Drosophila melanogaster: one gene and its partners. The protein of the gene in region 3 purifies or fractionates together with the protein of the main gene of each other region. This does not show direct contact. Each region holds a gene or a part of one and is shown on either strand. Other genes may lie near its edges.

Region 1 (3,525 bases), on a different chromosome or scaffold from region 3:
TATGGCTGTTGCTTTTTACGCTGCCACATTTGTTGCCCGGACGCTGCAAGTTGCCTCTTTTTGTTGGCCCATGAAATTAGATACACTTTGTCGAGCAGCATTTTTGTTGTGTAAACACGAATTTGGGGAACTCGAAAAAGAAAAGGGGGAAATTGTTTCCTAAACGAAAGTTAATTAGTTATTAGGGGGAACTGGCACTGTCGGTGCTAATGAGTTGGAAAAGCATTTTACACGGAGCACGCGTGGCTGCCACTTCAAATTCAAGTCTCAATTCGAGAAAGAATAGGGATTCATTCTAATGGCTACAAGGAGTAGAATATCTAAACCCATTGGTTAATAAATTACGGTTTCCTAAGTTTAAAAAGAGATCTTCACCCTCATGCCATTGTATACAGCAAATAATGCTGAGACTTTAATTTTAAAAACTCATCTGAAAAACTTTAATATTGCGTTTCCTTAAACTCTTTTTTTAATGCCTATAAGATCCAACTGAAACCCTCAAGATTTTCTCTATTGGGATTAATTTAAAGCACTTAGGAATCTAGAGTATATAGCCCAAATCCCGGAAAGCCAGCGTCTGAGCCGATCTCTGAAACTACAAGTCTAGTCTGCGCCCGGCGTTAGGCAAACAAGATGGCAACAATACGCTGGTACTTGAGATTTCATTGTTGGCCAATGCAAATATATTGGTCGCGAGGAGAATGCAACAAAGCGTGGCAAAGAAAGGTCGCCGTGTCGCCGGGGCCAAGCCATAAAACGGATGCACCGGCACCGACCCAGGTTGTCTGGGTTCCGAAATCGACCTGTACCATCCAACAGCCAACCCTACTAAGCTGGGGTTTTAAACTAGAGCAGAACAAACCCACCACCAAGATGAGGCTCAACAGCAGGAAGATTGGCCAACGGACAACAAAGGCCGTGAAAGCAGTTTATGCAAATGGGCTCACATGTGGGCTGGAAAATGCATACTTTGCATATGAGGAAGGGCGACCCTTTTGGGCTGGCACAATTAACAAAGCGTGTAATTTCTCAAACCTATCGCGTGAACAATGGCACAAACAATTAGAGGATAATGAAAATCACCCACATAAGCAGGTCCACTACAGTTCTCACCGGATGGGTTTGGTGCATATGTATATGATCATATGGGCAAATCTGTGGATCAGTTCGAAAATACACGAAGGGGAACAATCATAACCGGAGCACAATGGCCGTCGTCAAGTACGCACATCCTTTATAAAGGTCCGTTCACATTGTCCTGGCATTGTTTACAACTCTATTGAGTGCAAAATGCAGCGGCATTGTTAACGGCTAGATATTTGCATACTTGTCTTGTCTTCCAAGACAAACCACAAAATCAAATTCAAATAATTACGCGCCATTTAACGAGGGAGTTGCGAAGCTCGACGAAGTACTTTCCATATGCCCGCTTTTCCATTAGGGTATGTTCTATGTACTGTATTTTTAATAAGAAATGTAGTACATTTTACAGTCTAACCAGCAAAATTTCTAAATTGTTTAATAAGATTAAGGGCGAGTGTGGAATATAAAAATAATATCCTTTTTTATAATTCTCATTCAATGTATTGTTTTTCTAGAAAAAATGTTCATTAATATTTATTTATTATTATAAACATTTAATTTTTATCAGGACTGTGAACAGAACAAAAATAAAAGCGAAAATTATATCGTGTAGATAAGCCCTTTGGGGAGTGACAGGTGAATAGCTAGCTCGGCAGCCCTGGTAGTGGTTGTCATTTTGACTTTTGCGCCATTCGGATAAAACAGATTTGCAAGTGAAACATTTAACGATAATAAGCATAAGAATGAGCTCTCTTGTTGATACCAGTCACTCGGATATCGATGACAATGACTCCTTCCACTCGTTCGACCAAAGCGAAGATATCATGGACAACCTTAGCCTCTCGCTCTCGGAGAGCGACTGCGACAGCGCCGCGGACTTTGATTCCGGCTCGGCGGATGAGATTTCCATGGAAAAAAAAATGGCAAGTAGAATAGATTTTTATGTGGCCCATAGTGTAAGATAATTTCCCGTAGGTTGGTGCACCCGCCCAGCTGGGCCAGGGCGCAGGAAATACTTTGAAGCCCACGCCTTCCGACGTCTTCGTAAAGCCAAAGTCGCCCGTTTTGGAGGTCCATTCCAGCGACTCATCCACCTGCGATGGCGTCTCCGCTGGCAAGCCCACACAGGTTGCGGGCTGTTTCAAGTCTCCCAAGAAGTTTACCGTTTCGCCGATCAGTGAGCAGAAGCAGAGACCAGTGCCCTTGTGTCCCAGAGATGTTCCGGGACTTTCCTCGAGCCAGATACCATGCATAAAACACTTTGACCTTGACCACTCAGTAACAGTCCGAAAAGAGCACCTGATCTCCAATCCCGAAACGGAGGCCTTACAAAAACACGCCTTCACCGAAATTTGGATCGATTCGCAGCAGAAACCTTGCCAGGCCAAGGTTTCTCGCTTGCAGCAGTTTTCTATGGCCCTGGAGGCCTATTTTGACCAGGATTCTGACAAGAAGGATCCGGAGCCAGCAAAAGTATGTTTAAAGTTTAAATTAAATTATTTTCTTTAAACGATATCTTTCAGACCATCACGCCTGCTCCGAAAAGTGACAAACCCGTGGAGAAGGTGGTGTATGTGTCTCCCTTTCCGGACATTCCCATACCACCATCAGCTCGAAAAGAAACTCGCATGTTGAGCGGAGTTAAGCCACCCAATATAGTGCCAGCTGGCTTTGATTTGACCCGATTGATTGAGTACAATAATCCCAATCACTGGCACCGTCGTCCCCACATGCGCACTGGCGATAGCATATAAACTTGATTAGCACAACATCTTGATCAACATTGTTATTTTCGTAATCACCACACTCAACTGACCGATTGGACGTTCTTTTTGTAAAACTGATATCTTTCTGCAATAAAGGATTCCGAACTACCAAAGCAATTAGAGCGCCAAACATATGCGACTGTCAAACTCCGGCAAAGACATAATATCGCCAGCGTTGAATGGGAACGTCGTCGCCGGCTCCAAATGATTTCATTGTGCTGCCGATAAAATTGTCGCCAGCGAAATATGTTGCCCGTGACTTTGATTTTGGCCGCCGCAACATTAATTTCCAAGGAAATTACACATGCCCGCTGAAGGGGATGGCTTGGCTTATCTGCGCTGGCAGATCGCCGAGTGAGCCCGGGTCGGAGCTCATTTGCCGCTGACATGCGAACGTTTGCTTTGCTCCGGCCCCAAACATGGACTCTCTCTTCTCGGCTCCAGCCAGCGGATGCCCCCAAATGAGAATTCAATAAATTTCAGGTAAAGGTAAGGGCAACAACAACAGCAGCAGGCAACAACACAATGGGCCAAACGTTGTCGTTAGTCTTTTGGCGACGTTTAACATGAATATGCAGTGTGGCTAATGTGGAGCCCATAAACACTTCCAGCGGCAACATGAATGGGCCAAAAAACAGGTTGCAGCTACGTGTGTGGGTATCGATGGGCATTGTGG
Region 2 (4,601 bases), on a different chromosome or scaffold from region 3:
GGTCTATCGCAAGTTGATAGGCTATTGCGGCACGTTCGCAGACCTCAGCGACTGGAGTCCGGCGCTGTACAAGAGTCTGAAGTCCATGCTGGACTATCAGGGCCAGGATATGGAGGAGGTATTCGAACAGACCTTCAAGATTAGCTATAGCGATGTTTTCGGTGATGTGGTACAACACGAACTGGTGCCGAACGGCCAGGATGTACTGGTGGGGCAGCACAACAAGGAACTGTTTGTCAACCTGTACAGTGATTTCCTGCTTAACACGAATATCGAACAGCAGTTCAATGCTTTCCGCAAGGGCTTCGAAATGGTTACGGACGAATCGCCACTGAAGCTGCTCTTCCGTCCAGAGGAGATTGAAATGCTGGTCTGCGGCAGTCGTGTGAGTAGCTAAATTCAAATTACGAAATTCATTCGGTTGCTGAACTCTGAAACCTTCGGCAGGAATTCGACTTTGTGGAACTGGAAAACTCCACTGTGTACGAGGGCGGCTACACGGAGAAGAGCCAGTACATCCAGGACTTCTGGAGCATAGTGCATGCGATGCCCAGCGAGGACAAGCACAAGCTGCTCGAATTCACGACGGGATCGGCGCGTGTTCCGGTTGGCGGCCTGAAATGCCTGCGTCTGCTAATCACGCGTCACGGTCCGGATAGCGATCGGTTGCCTACCTCGCACACCTGCTTCAACGTTCTCCTCCTGCCCGAGTACAGCAGCCGCGAGAAGCTGGAGGAGCGCCTGATGAAGGCCATCAACTACTCGAAGGGCTTCGGCATGCTGTAGACTATGGTCCAAACTGCAAGTGCAAGTCTGTCATCTGGAACTGATACCACCACCTCTCTGGGAAGAAGATTTCGAAGACTTTGATCGGTTTGAGTTCGTTTTGGGTTCTGCCATTTATTTTTGATACGACCTGTTCAATGAGACAATATATACATACCCAATATATGTGCTCAATTTATATGGTGCGACGGCGAAGCGAGCAGACCGAACGGACACGCGATTTTGTTTCCCTTCTTTAGCCCAGTTAATTGTACATAAACACACACATAAACACGCCACATACTACATTATGTGAACTTACCCTAGGAACAACACCCACATTTAAAAACAGTACGCGCTGAATATTTTCCTAAATAAATTTAAAGTAGTTCGGCGAAGAAACAGATGTATTTTCCATTTAGATTGGTTTTCGCAAGTATGGAATATTTTTTAATATTAGATATTTTTAATTTAAACTAAGATTACTAACAAATTAAAATTGTGGAAAAAGATTCATTTAAATTATATTTACATATTTAATTTAGTATAGAAACATCAAATACAAAACATTTTGTAAGCAATATTTCACACTAGCTGACATTTAAATTTCGGTGTGAAGTACTTTTTATTTTTTAACTTAAAAAATAACTTGTTAACTTTATTTTTTATTTAGTCTAGACACATTTAAAAAAAAAAGAGGTGTGAAAGCCTTATTTCACAACAGCTGACTTGGGACTAGTGGATTTTTTAGGCCCTTTTTTTCAGGCGATATTTTCTAACGGCTTAGCCGCAGCCACACATTTGTTATTCGCGTTTCTGAGTTTCTTGCGGGTGGGACTCCCGATATTTTGTGGAGCGGAAGGTGTTTTGATTTCCTTAGCATTTAGCACAAAAAAATGCAACTAGTATAAAGTACTGTTCACTATAACAATTTTTAACCACCGATAGCGAGTGCTTCACTGTGTGTGCGAGTAAGAGAGAGAGAGAGCAACTAGCTCCAGCATCATGAGAATACAACAAAGCGCCTTGTTGTTGTTGCTGCTGGCCGTGACGTCGCAAGGAGATGCCGAGTCCAATTGGAATGGTTTGTTCTTAATTTCTAACTAGAATGAGTTCATCAGCAGCCATAGAAAATTATATTGCATTCATGTTTTCATATTTTTCGATCTTAAGTGCATTCCACTGCCGTACTTATTACACAAATGCACAGAGATAAAAAGGGATGTGATGCGGTTGGTTTTTTCTTATCATTCTTGATAAGAAACTAGAACATCCTTTTCTCGTTCAAAACATAAAAAGTCCGAAATGTAGTTTCCCCTTACTTTTTTCTGTGTATGTGCAGTACATATCTCAGAGAATTTGTTTATGATCCATATACCACCCGACCACATCTCTCCTTGCCTTTTAATTTGCTTTTGTTTTCGTTTCGCTTTGATGCTGCGGTCGTTTACTCTGGAATTGCTCGGAAAACGGAGCAGATGCAGATTCAAGTGTTCAGATGCATCTGCATCTGAGATGAAAGATACAAAATGGTTCTCAAACAGCAAATTCGTTTACACATTCAGAAATTAAACTGCTTTAAACAAGCCGAACTTGTTGTCTAACATGTATTCGTTATAATTTAATGACTTCAGACAATACAATATCATTTTGTTGTATTCTAATTAGAACCCAAAACTAGAATACAGTAGAGCTTACGCAAGTTCAACGAGCAATATAAGAAACTATTAAATTTATGTTAAATTACATTAATTAAAAATAATCCAAAAGTAATGACTTACTTTCTATTAATCTTTACTATTGATTCATATATATGTTAATTTACAGACAAAATCAAAGTGTTCACTGTGGCCACTGAACCCACCGATGGCTATACTAGATATATTCGATCTGCACGAGTCTACGATATTGAGGTGAGGATTCGTATTAATTAGAGCATTTTAAAGTCGAGACAAGAAATTGTTTCACACTGTCTATCTAATATCTATGAGCTGCTATAGTTAGGTATTATGGTTAGCGGAAAAAGAATTATAAAGCGGTTGGAACTTTGAAACTTGACAGTTCATCAAGAAAGACATTCTACCATCTGGGATAAAAATTAGAGAACATTAAATACAGTTATGCATATACTTCTGCCTGAACAAAATTGGCCAACTTTTATGTTTAATAGAACATCTGCGAACAACTCTTCATATGCAAATGAGTTTTGATTGTTTTTATTGATGAATTTCTAATTTGACGACACTCTCAGACAATAGAATTTTCATAAAAACTGGTATATAAGCTAGAACATAGCATTTATGACAGATTAGAACTGGACGATGTGAGTATGTATTGTATTGTCTTAAATGAATCAAGACTTGCCCGGCGGCTTGGCACACTTAGGCAACATTGTATTATTAAAATGTCTGGTTAGCATATAATATAGTAGCTATATATATCTGTGCCTATTCGCCGCTACCCGAGCATCCGGCGTTGGCGTCCGATTTTCTGATGTGGAACACCGAGATTGGCTGCTGGACATTGTGGGGGCAACGACAACATGTAGTCAACATATAGTGCACACATGTTGAAATCACGTACGCCAAGGAGATTCGGTGCAGTCGCCGGGGGTAATTAGCACAATACATTGGGATTGGGTTCCCGATTCATTGATAGCTTAGAACTTTCTACACCAAGTCGATGGGAGATTTCGCTTATCGGTGACACTTTTTGTATTGTCGGCCGGCTTAGAAATTTTGTTGTTCAAAAATATATATGCACGACAATAAAATGTGCTGATAAGCTCGCTTAGCCGGCTTTTTTTCATGGATTGAACCTGATCTCTCCCCCTTTGCTTTGAATTTCTATATATGTACATTTTTTTTTTGTATTTAAAGAACTGTGCGACCCAAGATATTTAATACCGCAGCGTTGCTAAATGAATGAAATTTGTGATTTGGTTTCCTTTAATGGAAAAGATATGATTTCTTTTAAATTTTGTGTCATATTTTTGGTTGCTTTGTATATGTTTTATATAATATGAGCTTGTAGATTAAACAAATATATAGATTTAGGTAGCTTGTTAGTCCAGTTTGTTGTCAGTGATAAAGATATACGCATCAGATCACTGGTTAGCATTTAAAATAATATTTAATCTTTAAAGGTAACCACCCTTGGCTTGGGAGAGGAATGGAAAGGAGGAGATATGCAAAAGCCTGGCGGCGGATTTAAGCTCAACCTTCTGCGCGAAGCTATTGCTCCGTATAAAAATGAACCCGAAACAATCATACTCTTCACAGACAGGTTTGAAATTCAATGAAAAATCCAAAGGAGTTGTTAATAATTAAGGTGTACTTTTTAGCTACGATGTGATTATCACCACCACGCTGGATGAGATCTTTGAGAAATTCAAGGAGTCTGGTGCCAAGATACTCTTCTCCGCCGAGAAATACTGCTGGCCCGACAAAAGTCTGGCCAATGACTATCCCGAAGTGGAGGGCAAGGCCTCCAGATTCCTCAACTCGGGCGCGTTCATTGGTTATGCACCACAAGTTTTCGCTCTGCTGGTGGATCCAATTGAAGACACTGCCGACGATCAGCTATATTTTACAAAGATCTTCCTTGACGAGACCAAACGCGCCAAGCTGGGCTTAAAGCTGGACGTACAATCGCGCCTATTCCAAAACCTACATGGTGCCAAGAACGATGTGAAGCTTAAAGTGGATCTCGAGAGCAATCAGGGCGTTCTACAGAACGTGGATTTCATGACAACGCCTTCCATCATCCATGGCAATGGACTTAGCAAAGTGGATCTGAATGCATATGGCAACTATTTGGCCAGGACTTTTAATGGC
Region 3 (3,814 bases):
TAACTATTTTTACGTAGTTGGCCAATAAATTCGTCATTGATTTTGGCCCGCAAATTTATGCGCAACGAGGCGAAATCCTTTTTGGCCATTAAGTTTTGGCGCTTGCCCAATCGTTTAGCAATTTATTCAAAGCGTCAGGGCGACAATTCACTTTTCGGATATGGATTCTTGTGATTGGATTTGGAATTGGAATCCAGCTCAGAATCGGGGCGTTTTTTTTTTTTGTTTTTAGCTGCCGGTGTGGCTTTTGCGCAATGCCAAAATTTATGGCCAACCACTTACCCGGCAGCAAGGTCAGAACAATCAGAAGTGCTGCTGCTGGTGGTTCTGCAAGTTCTGTTGGTTCTATTAGTTCTGGTGGTGCCACCGCCGTGTCTCCAGGAGTGGGGCATGCAACAGGTCACCGCGATAAACCAGGAGCCGCTCCAATGAGTCAGCAGCAGCAGCTCGACTTTGATTTGTGGCACTTGGGGGCGAATATAAATCAGCCTGCAACAACAACAACAAAAGGCTGCAGACCCACCCTACACACAGGCCCATGCACTCGAAAAAAAAGTAGAGCTCATCCTGTTCATATCGTGAAAGGCCGAAAAACAAGCTGGAAACAAGATTCCATATGCTGAGTGGTAAGTTTGTAATGTTTAATTTTCAATGTTAATAAAATCAAAAATATTCCTAGACATTGGGTGACTTTAATAAAATCAAAAATATTTCTAGACATTGGGTGACTTAAGGTGGTTTAAAAGTATCATAATTCAACACAATGCTATTCTTCTTATATAAAATCATGAAATACTCTCCCAATTTCTCACTGTGCACTGTAAATCCTAGCCGTTTGCATGAATGACATAATCAGTAGCCATTTAGAAGAATTCTACATTAGGAAGGGCGGTACTTTTCGCCCAGTGCATGGAAACCCATGAAATTGCCGCGCAAAGGTCAAGTCAAGTGAAATTGGTTGGGAAAAAGGCGAGAAAGCATGCGACGGAGGCGCACAGTGAAGAAATTATGTCAAAATTTGAATTAGCAGCTGGGAAAATAAAATGGCGCGACCAGAAAGACAATGGCGGCGCATAAATTAATTTCCCTATCAGCTGCAGCCTCGGAAAAGTGCATTCGCTTTTCACTTTCGTGTCGCCTGCTGCGGCTCCGAATTGGATTGGTCTGGGTGGGATTGGATTGGAGTGGAGTGGAGTGGACGGGTTGTGTGGGCTGTGGTTCAGTTTCCAGCTGTTTGCGAGAATCGTTTCGGGGCGATAAAGCCGTTGACAGAAGCGGTTTCCCTTTTTGAGCGCTGCGGTTTCGCCCTTGGCGTGCGGTGAAAATGCATTTTCCCAGCGATGCCGAAGAATGGGGAAAACTGCATTAGAAATGAGGAAAAACAGTCGCCCGTGAAAATTGGTTTTCGGTTGGTGGTTTTTCCCACTTCAGATAATGGTCTTTCCTGATTTAAACCGAACGTCATTGTTTTTTCTTCAATACGTTGAATATTATCAAATAATGATCACCTTGATCTTTCAATTTAAAATTTCAACGCTTTGCATCATCAAAGTTATCGACTGTTGATTTCGATAGGTGTTTAAATGATAGTAACGGTATTTTTTAGTTAATTTTTAAGTTTAAGTCAACAGTGCTGCCAAGATTTCAAACTAAATAAGCTTTTGTAAGACAAAAATGTACAATGAGTCCAATTTTCAAAATTGATAGAGTACAGTCACAGTATTTAAGCTTAATATATTTCTAATATATATTATCAGAAATTAAAACATTGCTTAATATAGTTATTTCCACAACAATATTCCTAAAACCTGGCATCCCTGGTCAGTGCATTCTTTGATCGTTAGTAAGATACTAAGTTGCATTCCAATTATAATTAGAATATTTTAATTTGCAAGAATTACTTTGTTTTAAAACCATTTCATTGCCAATATGAGCAGCTCTACGCCAGCTTACTACAATGCGGATGCTGTGCGTCAGGTTCTCACCTGGCCGCTGGTCAATAAGGCAGTGGAATCTGCACTTGTAGCTATAGTTAAGCAGAATCCGGAAACGCCCTCCACATCCTTTGCCTTTCAACCGAAGAGGACTTTTATTCCATGCGGCAAGGAACCTGGCAAGGTTCTGCTCACCATGCCCGCCTATGTGGGCAACTACAGGCTGGAATCGTCAAGGGATCCTGGGGAAGTGGAGCACACCCACTCAACACTGGCCTGCAAGTTGGTGACCTCGTTCAGTGGGAATCCCCGACGGGATCCTCCGCTGCCCAGCATCCATGCCCATGTGCTGCTGTTCGACAATCAAACCGGTCAACTGTCGGCCATAATGGAGGGCACGGACTTGACCACCTGGCGCACTGTATCCGCTTCACTGGTGGCCACCAAGTATCTGTACTTCAGGCGCTTTGGGGCGCAGGCGGAGCAGGAAAGGAATATCAACGTGGCCATCGTGGGCTGTGGAGTTCAAGGACAACTCCATGCTGCCGCTTTCTGCGCGAACTTCCGGGTGAGGCAGCTTAATCTTTACAATCGCACGCAGGCAAAGGCACTGGGTTTAGCGGACCAACTGCGGCAGAAATTGAACACCGAGAGCGGAACCCAGATTACTGTATGTCCAAGTCCTCACGAAGCTTGCCAGGATGCCGATATCATCTGCATCGCCACGTACTCCAAGGAGCCGCTTATCCAGTTGGCAGATCTGAAATCCAAACGGGCTGTTCATATTAACGGTAGGTCTGCTGTTATAATGGAATGCTGGATGGATGATGATGACCTACCCTTTATAACTTTCGATTTCAGCTGTGGGAGCCGGCGAAGTTCACTTTTCGGAGGTGGCTCCAAAGATTTACCAGCAGGCCAAGGTCTACGTGGATTGCTATGCCAATGCCGAGGCTGAATTGGTGGGATTACCTGCGCCGATCACCGCTGAAGTGGGTCAGATCATTCTGGATGGAAACTATCCCAAGGAGCTAGAAATCAGCATCTTTCAATCCATGGGTGCGTTTTTATTAAGTTTGTGTAACTATATGACTATCTCTGTCTGTTTCAAAGTTGTATCATTAAAAATTTCATACATTTCCTATTTAAGGCATGGCCTCGGAGGACGCCTGTGTGGCCCAGGCGGTTCAGGATTGCATTATCTCTAGCGCAAAGGATTCCTGATTGCTGTCCAGCTGGCAAAGCGATTCCGGAACCAGCCCAAGCCAAACCAGTGAATTCTTAAACTTTAATGTGTATATGCGCGTATATAAAAAAGCATTTGGAAACATAACAATCGGTTCGCTTACAAACTACAACAAACCCAACTGGCCGGAGAAGTCCTTCCGGTCGTCACTTCCAGATCACAGTCACATTCGTGTCCTTCTCGATATCCCGCTCGATGGTGCAGGGCGAGAGGCCCGTCTTGCAGCAGATCTCGTCAAAGCTGATCAGCCCGGTGTACATCTTCTGCCGCCCGGAAGGCACTGAGCCCGTAAACACCGGGTACTTGTGGATGCAGCGAATGAATCGGTGCTGCAGCCCGAAGATCACCATGCGACGCTCATCGATGTTGTGGTGCTGGGGGCACAATCTCTGGCAGATCGCTCGCAGAGTAACGCCGTGAGTCATCGAGGCGTAGAACTGAAAGATGCGCTGAACACTGGGCAGCGTCTTGTCCGGACGCAAGGCCACGTATTTCCGGCATGCGCCGCTCAGTGATGCGCTCTGGATGAGATGCTTTAGGTTCTGCGTCATGTACACGTTGCTGTACTTCAGGATTGGCAGCAGCTGAACGACCCCGTAGTAGACCAGATTCTGTATGCACGACTTGACCAGGT
Region 4 (3,476 bases), 7.6 Mb from region 3:
GACCAAGTTATTCTGCGCTTGCTTGGCCCGGCTCCTTGGGGCAAATTGATTTTGCTTCGTGCCTCATCAGCAGCGACAATTGCCCTTGCCCTGATCGCCATGATGATTGGGCTTCCTGCGCTTCTTGGGCACTTCTTCGTGCGCTCACGTAGCAGCTACCCCTCTCGCCCCTCTTTCCAGCGCTTACCCTTTTCCCTGACCCTGACCCCCCTTGACATCCTGGCCCGCCGCCTCTGGTGGCTGCTGCTGTTGTCCCTCGACCGGCTACCGATGTTTTTTGCGGTTTCACACTTTGGTTAAGGTTCCTGCCCTTCGCACTCGGACTTCCACTCGCGGTCAGCCGCCAGTCATTGGGTCACAGCCCGCAGAAGGAAGATGGCCCAAAGTGCCTATTCGTCAAATAAAGTCGACCTCAATACGAATTGCTAAATAATATGAGTGTATGAGTAGGTTCTTATTTGGATTTTTAACCAAACACAAAGTATACAAAGCAATAAACCAATCGCCTATGGAACTATTCTGGCTAGCATTCCATTTAATTATTCCAAAAATTAATTACATAAGAAAGATCTTATACATACTAAAAAATATGTTTCTCGTTTAAAGAAATTTATCATTCACTGTTCAAAAGAAAACTGAAAAACTTAAAAAGCAAATGCCTTACAAAATGGTCAGTTTGCTACGTACGAAACCAATCGGTATTTAGCTTAGAAAGATTGTTTATGATTATTGGATATCAGAGTTATCTTACAAAATACGAAATTTAATGAACAGCTTGTGGGGGGAGGGGTGAAAGGACAAAGAGGGTTGACAATTGTTTTACTTAAACTATTACAAAAAAAGAGCGCGGCTGAAACTTGAGAGCGAGTCCCAGATGCTGCCTACTTAATGTACTTGTCCATGAACTTCTTGTGGAAATCGGAGCGCAGGGCGTCATTGACGAAGTGCGTCTTCTTATCGGGCGCAGATCTGGCGCAATTCTTAAAGACCACATCATCGTCCCAGCGGCGCTTTATCTTTAGATCACCGCCCAGTCCAGAGGCACGTCCCGCTGCCGAGGCGGCGGTGCCGGGCTCATAGTTCATCAGTGGATTGCCGGACAGGATGTTCTCCATGCGTATGCGTTCGTCCTCCTGCTTCTTTTCCGACTCGCGACGCGCCGTCTCCTGCAGACGTTCCTGCTTGATCTTCTGCAGCTCGGCCAGCAGGGCGGCATCATCGTCATCGGAATCGCTGTCCGAATCGGAGCTATCGTTGTCCAGCGGCTCATCGGCGTCCATATTGGCGGCCTGCTGCTGAGCCGCCTGCTGCGCTTGCTGCTGCCCTGCGTCCGGCTTGGAACGCTTTGCGGCACTGCTGCCACCGCCGGCGTTGTTCGCCTCAATCGCCTTGCGTACAATGGAGGGCAGTGCCTTGCCCGACGACGACGAAGTGGCTCCCGTTCCGGAGCGCGCCTCACGTTCGCGCTCCTCCAGCTCCTTGCGGAAGTCACGGTTGCGGTTCTCATCGCTGGTGCCCTGGCCAGTCTCCCTGCGCAAACACAAGTTCTCGTTAGACAAGGAAATTGTTATGTGGGCTACTATTAATCCTTACCTGTATTTCAGTTTCGTGTGGCCTGGCAAATCGCGACTGGAGTACTGCTTGCTCAGTGCACTCAGATCCTTTTCGCCGCGACCGGATCCTCCGCGGGCTGGATCGAAGGTCGGACGCGCTGCTGTGGTCATTTTCAACTAGCTAGTTATGCGTTTAATTGTTAAATTGATGAAAAGTGAAATGAATTTCCGAACTGCGTGCTTTGTTTGATGTATCAACAGTACCAATAATCGAGCCGTACCACGGTCACACTGACCGATAGGCCTTTCGATACACGCTTAGTGCGGACTTTAACCGTGATAAGGGCGGCTATTGCTGGGCATCACTGGAACATCAGCTGTGCGCACCAATGGGCAGCATTGTTACGGTAAACACGCGCGGAGCACCGCCGTTTTATCCGACAAACAAAAAAACGCTGAAAAACAAAACTTTTCGGCAACTTGAAGCGATTTTAAGTTTAGTTTAGCCAACCCCCTGCTATCCATCCCCCACCGACGGCCATGCTGGCCAATTTGCGCGCCTGCAGCGGCCACCTGTTGCATCACAGCCTCCGAAATGCAAGAATTCCACGACGAAGCTGGGCGAGCACGACTGCTGGCAAGGATCAGCCGGAGGAGGACAGCCTGACCATCGGCGATGTGAGCGTGCGGCTGCGCAAGCCCAAGGATCCGCAACTGGTGCCGCAGCAATACGGTGAGCAGGGGGATGCCGGGAAGTGGGAAGCCAAGATCTCTGGACAGTGCAAAGGTCAACATAAAGATCTTGGTGCCGCAGAATTATTTCATCATTATCATTATATCATGTCATTATATCATCTTTGAGTAGCAGACACATCAAGGATTAAAGAGACCACGGATCTAAAGCGAAGGAATGAATGTAAAACTCATGGTCATCGAGAAAAGACCACTATAATCTCAAGAAAATTCCTATGTGAAAACAAGCTACATGCTATATTTCATAATTGGCCAAATCGACAAATTATATGAGGCACAAGCTATCCGAACTCGAGACTTAATAAACTCTGTATTTGGAGGACCAAATGATTTATGTTTTAACACGAACCTTTCGTTCTTGTATCCATCCAATCCGATAGTGAAATACGCATCGGATGGCACCCTTCAGCTGTCGCAATCAGCACTGCACCACCTGCGCTGGATGCTGCAGAAGGATGCACTGCGTCAGGACATGTTTCTACTGGGGCAACCGGGTCCGCTGCGCCGCCAGCTGGCCATGCAGTTCCTGGAGCTGACGCAGCGCGAGGTGGAGTACGTGGCCCTCAGCAGAGACACCACCGAGAGCGATCTGAAGCAGCGACGTGAAATCAACGACAGGGCGGCCATCTTCCACGATCAGGGAGCCGTACGAGCGGCGCTCAATGGCCGAGTTCTTGTCCTCGATGGAGTGGAGCACGCGGAACGCAATGTCCTGCCCATACTAAACAATCTGCTGGAGAATCGCGAGATGCACCTGGAGAGCGGCAAGTTCCTGATGTCGCCGGAGCGTTACGATAAACTTCTAGAGGTATGTTAGCTGTTTCCTGTGTGCACGTTCCTAGTCCTCTGAAGCTTGCTAATCCTCATTCTCATTTGTTTTAGAAACACTCGCGGGAGCAGCTGGACGAATGGGGTCTGCTACGCGTATCGGAGCAATTCCGGGTGGTAGCCTTGGGTCTGCCCACCCACAAGTACAAGGGCACGCCACTGGATCCACCGCTGCGCTCCCGCTTCCAGTCCCGCAACGTGACCACATATTCGTACGGCGAGCTGTACGAGGAACTGCAGCAGGAGGCGCCTTCTGTGCCCGGCGAGCAGCTGAAGCAGTTGCTCACCTTCGCCTTGACCCTGCAGCAGGCGGATCCTGTGCTCCAACTGCCCGACTTTCCC

Evidence for each region.
Region 1: the proteins of CG4872 (region 3) and CG5194 purify together in Drosophila melanogaster (affinity purification with mass spectrometry, with the first as the bait; one large-scale study listed by BioGRID). This does not show direct contact.
Region 2: the proteins of CG4872 (region 3) and Plod purify together in Drosophila melanogaster (affinity purification with mass spectrometry, with the first as the bait; one large-scale study listed by BioGRID). This does not show direct contact.
Region 4: the proteins of CG4872 (region 3) and c12.1 purify together in Drosophila melanogaster (affinity purification with mass spectrometry, with the first as the bait; one large-scale study listed by BioGRID). This does not show direct contact.

What each region holds. Positions count from the first base shown.
Region 1 is NT_037436.4:9,008,063-9,011,587, reverse strand, and holds CG5194 (uncharacterized protein), read left to right. Parts: upstream 1-1,749; 5' UTR 1,750-1,826; coding exon 1,827-2,006; intron 2,007-2,058; coding exon 2,059-2,556; intron 2,557-2,606; coding exon 2,607-2,837; 3' UTR 2,838-2,964; downstream 2,965-3,525.
Region 2 is NT_037436.4:11,202,982-11,207,582, reverse strand, and holds the start of Plod (procollagen lysyl hydroxylase), read left to right. Parts: upstream 1-1,566; 5' UTR 1,567-1,627; exon of another isoform or gene 1,628-1,713; 5' UTR 1,714-1,770; coding exon 1,771-1,849; intron 1,850-2,592; coding exon 2,593-2,678; intron 2,679-3,910; coding exon 3,911-4,050; intron 4,051-4,108; coding exon 4,109-4,601. Other genes in the region: Ube3a (ubiquitin protein ligase E3A), read left to right, coding at 1-385, 448-786. UniProt on the Drosophila melanogaster protein: Forms hydroxylysine residues in collagen type IV. Required for the secretion of collagen type IV (vkg) from haemocytes, fat body and follicle cells.
Region 3 is NC_004354.4:16,879,526-16,883,339, forward strand, and holds CG4872 (uncharacterized protein), read left to right. Parts: upstream 1-1,821; 5' UTR 1,822-1,929; coding exon 1,930-2,725; intron 2,726-2,795; coding exon 2,796-2,993; exon of another isoform or gene 2,994-3,084; coding exon 3,085-3,158; 3' UTR 3,159-3,265; downstream 3,266-3,814. Other genes in the region: Nprl2 (nitrogen permease regulator-like 2), read right to left, coding at 3,327-3,814.
Region 4 is NC_004354.4:9,317,399-9,320,874, forward strand, and holds c12.1 (c12.1), read right to left. Parts: upstream 1,826-3,476; 5' UTR 1,725-1,825; coding exon 1,594-1,724; intron 1,531-1,593; coding exon 882-1,530; 3' UTR 517-881; downstream 1-516. Other genes in the region: c12.2, read left to right, coding at 2,094-2,286, 2,419-2,469, 2,687-3,114, 3,189-3,476. UniProt on the Drosophila melanogaster protein: Involved in pre-mRNA splicing.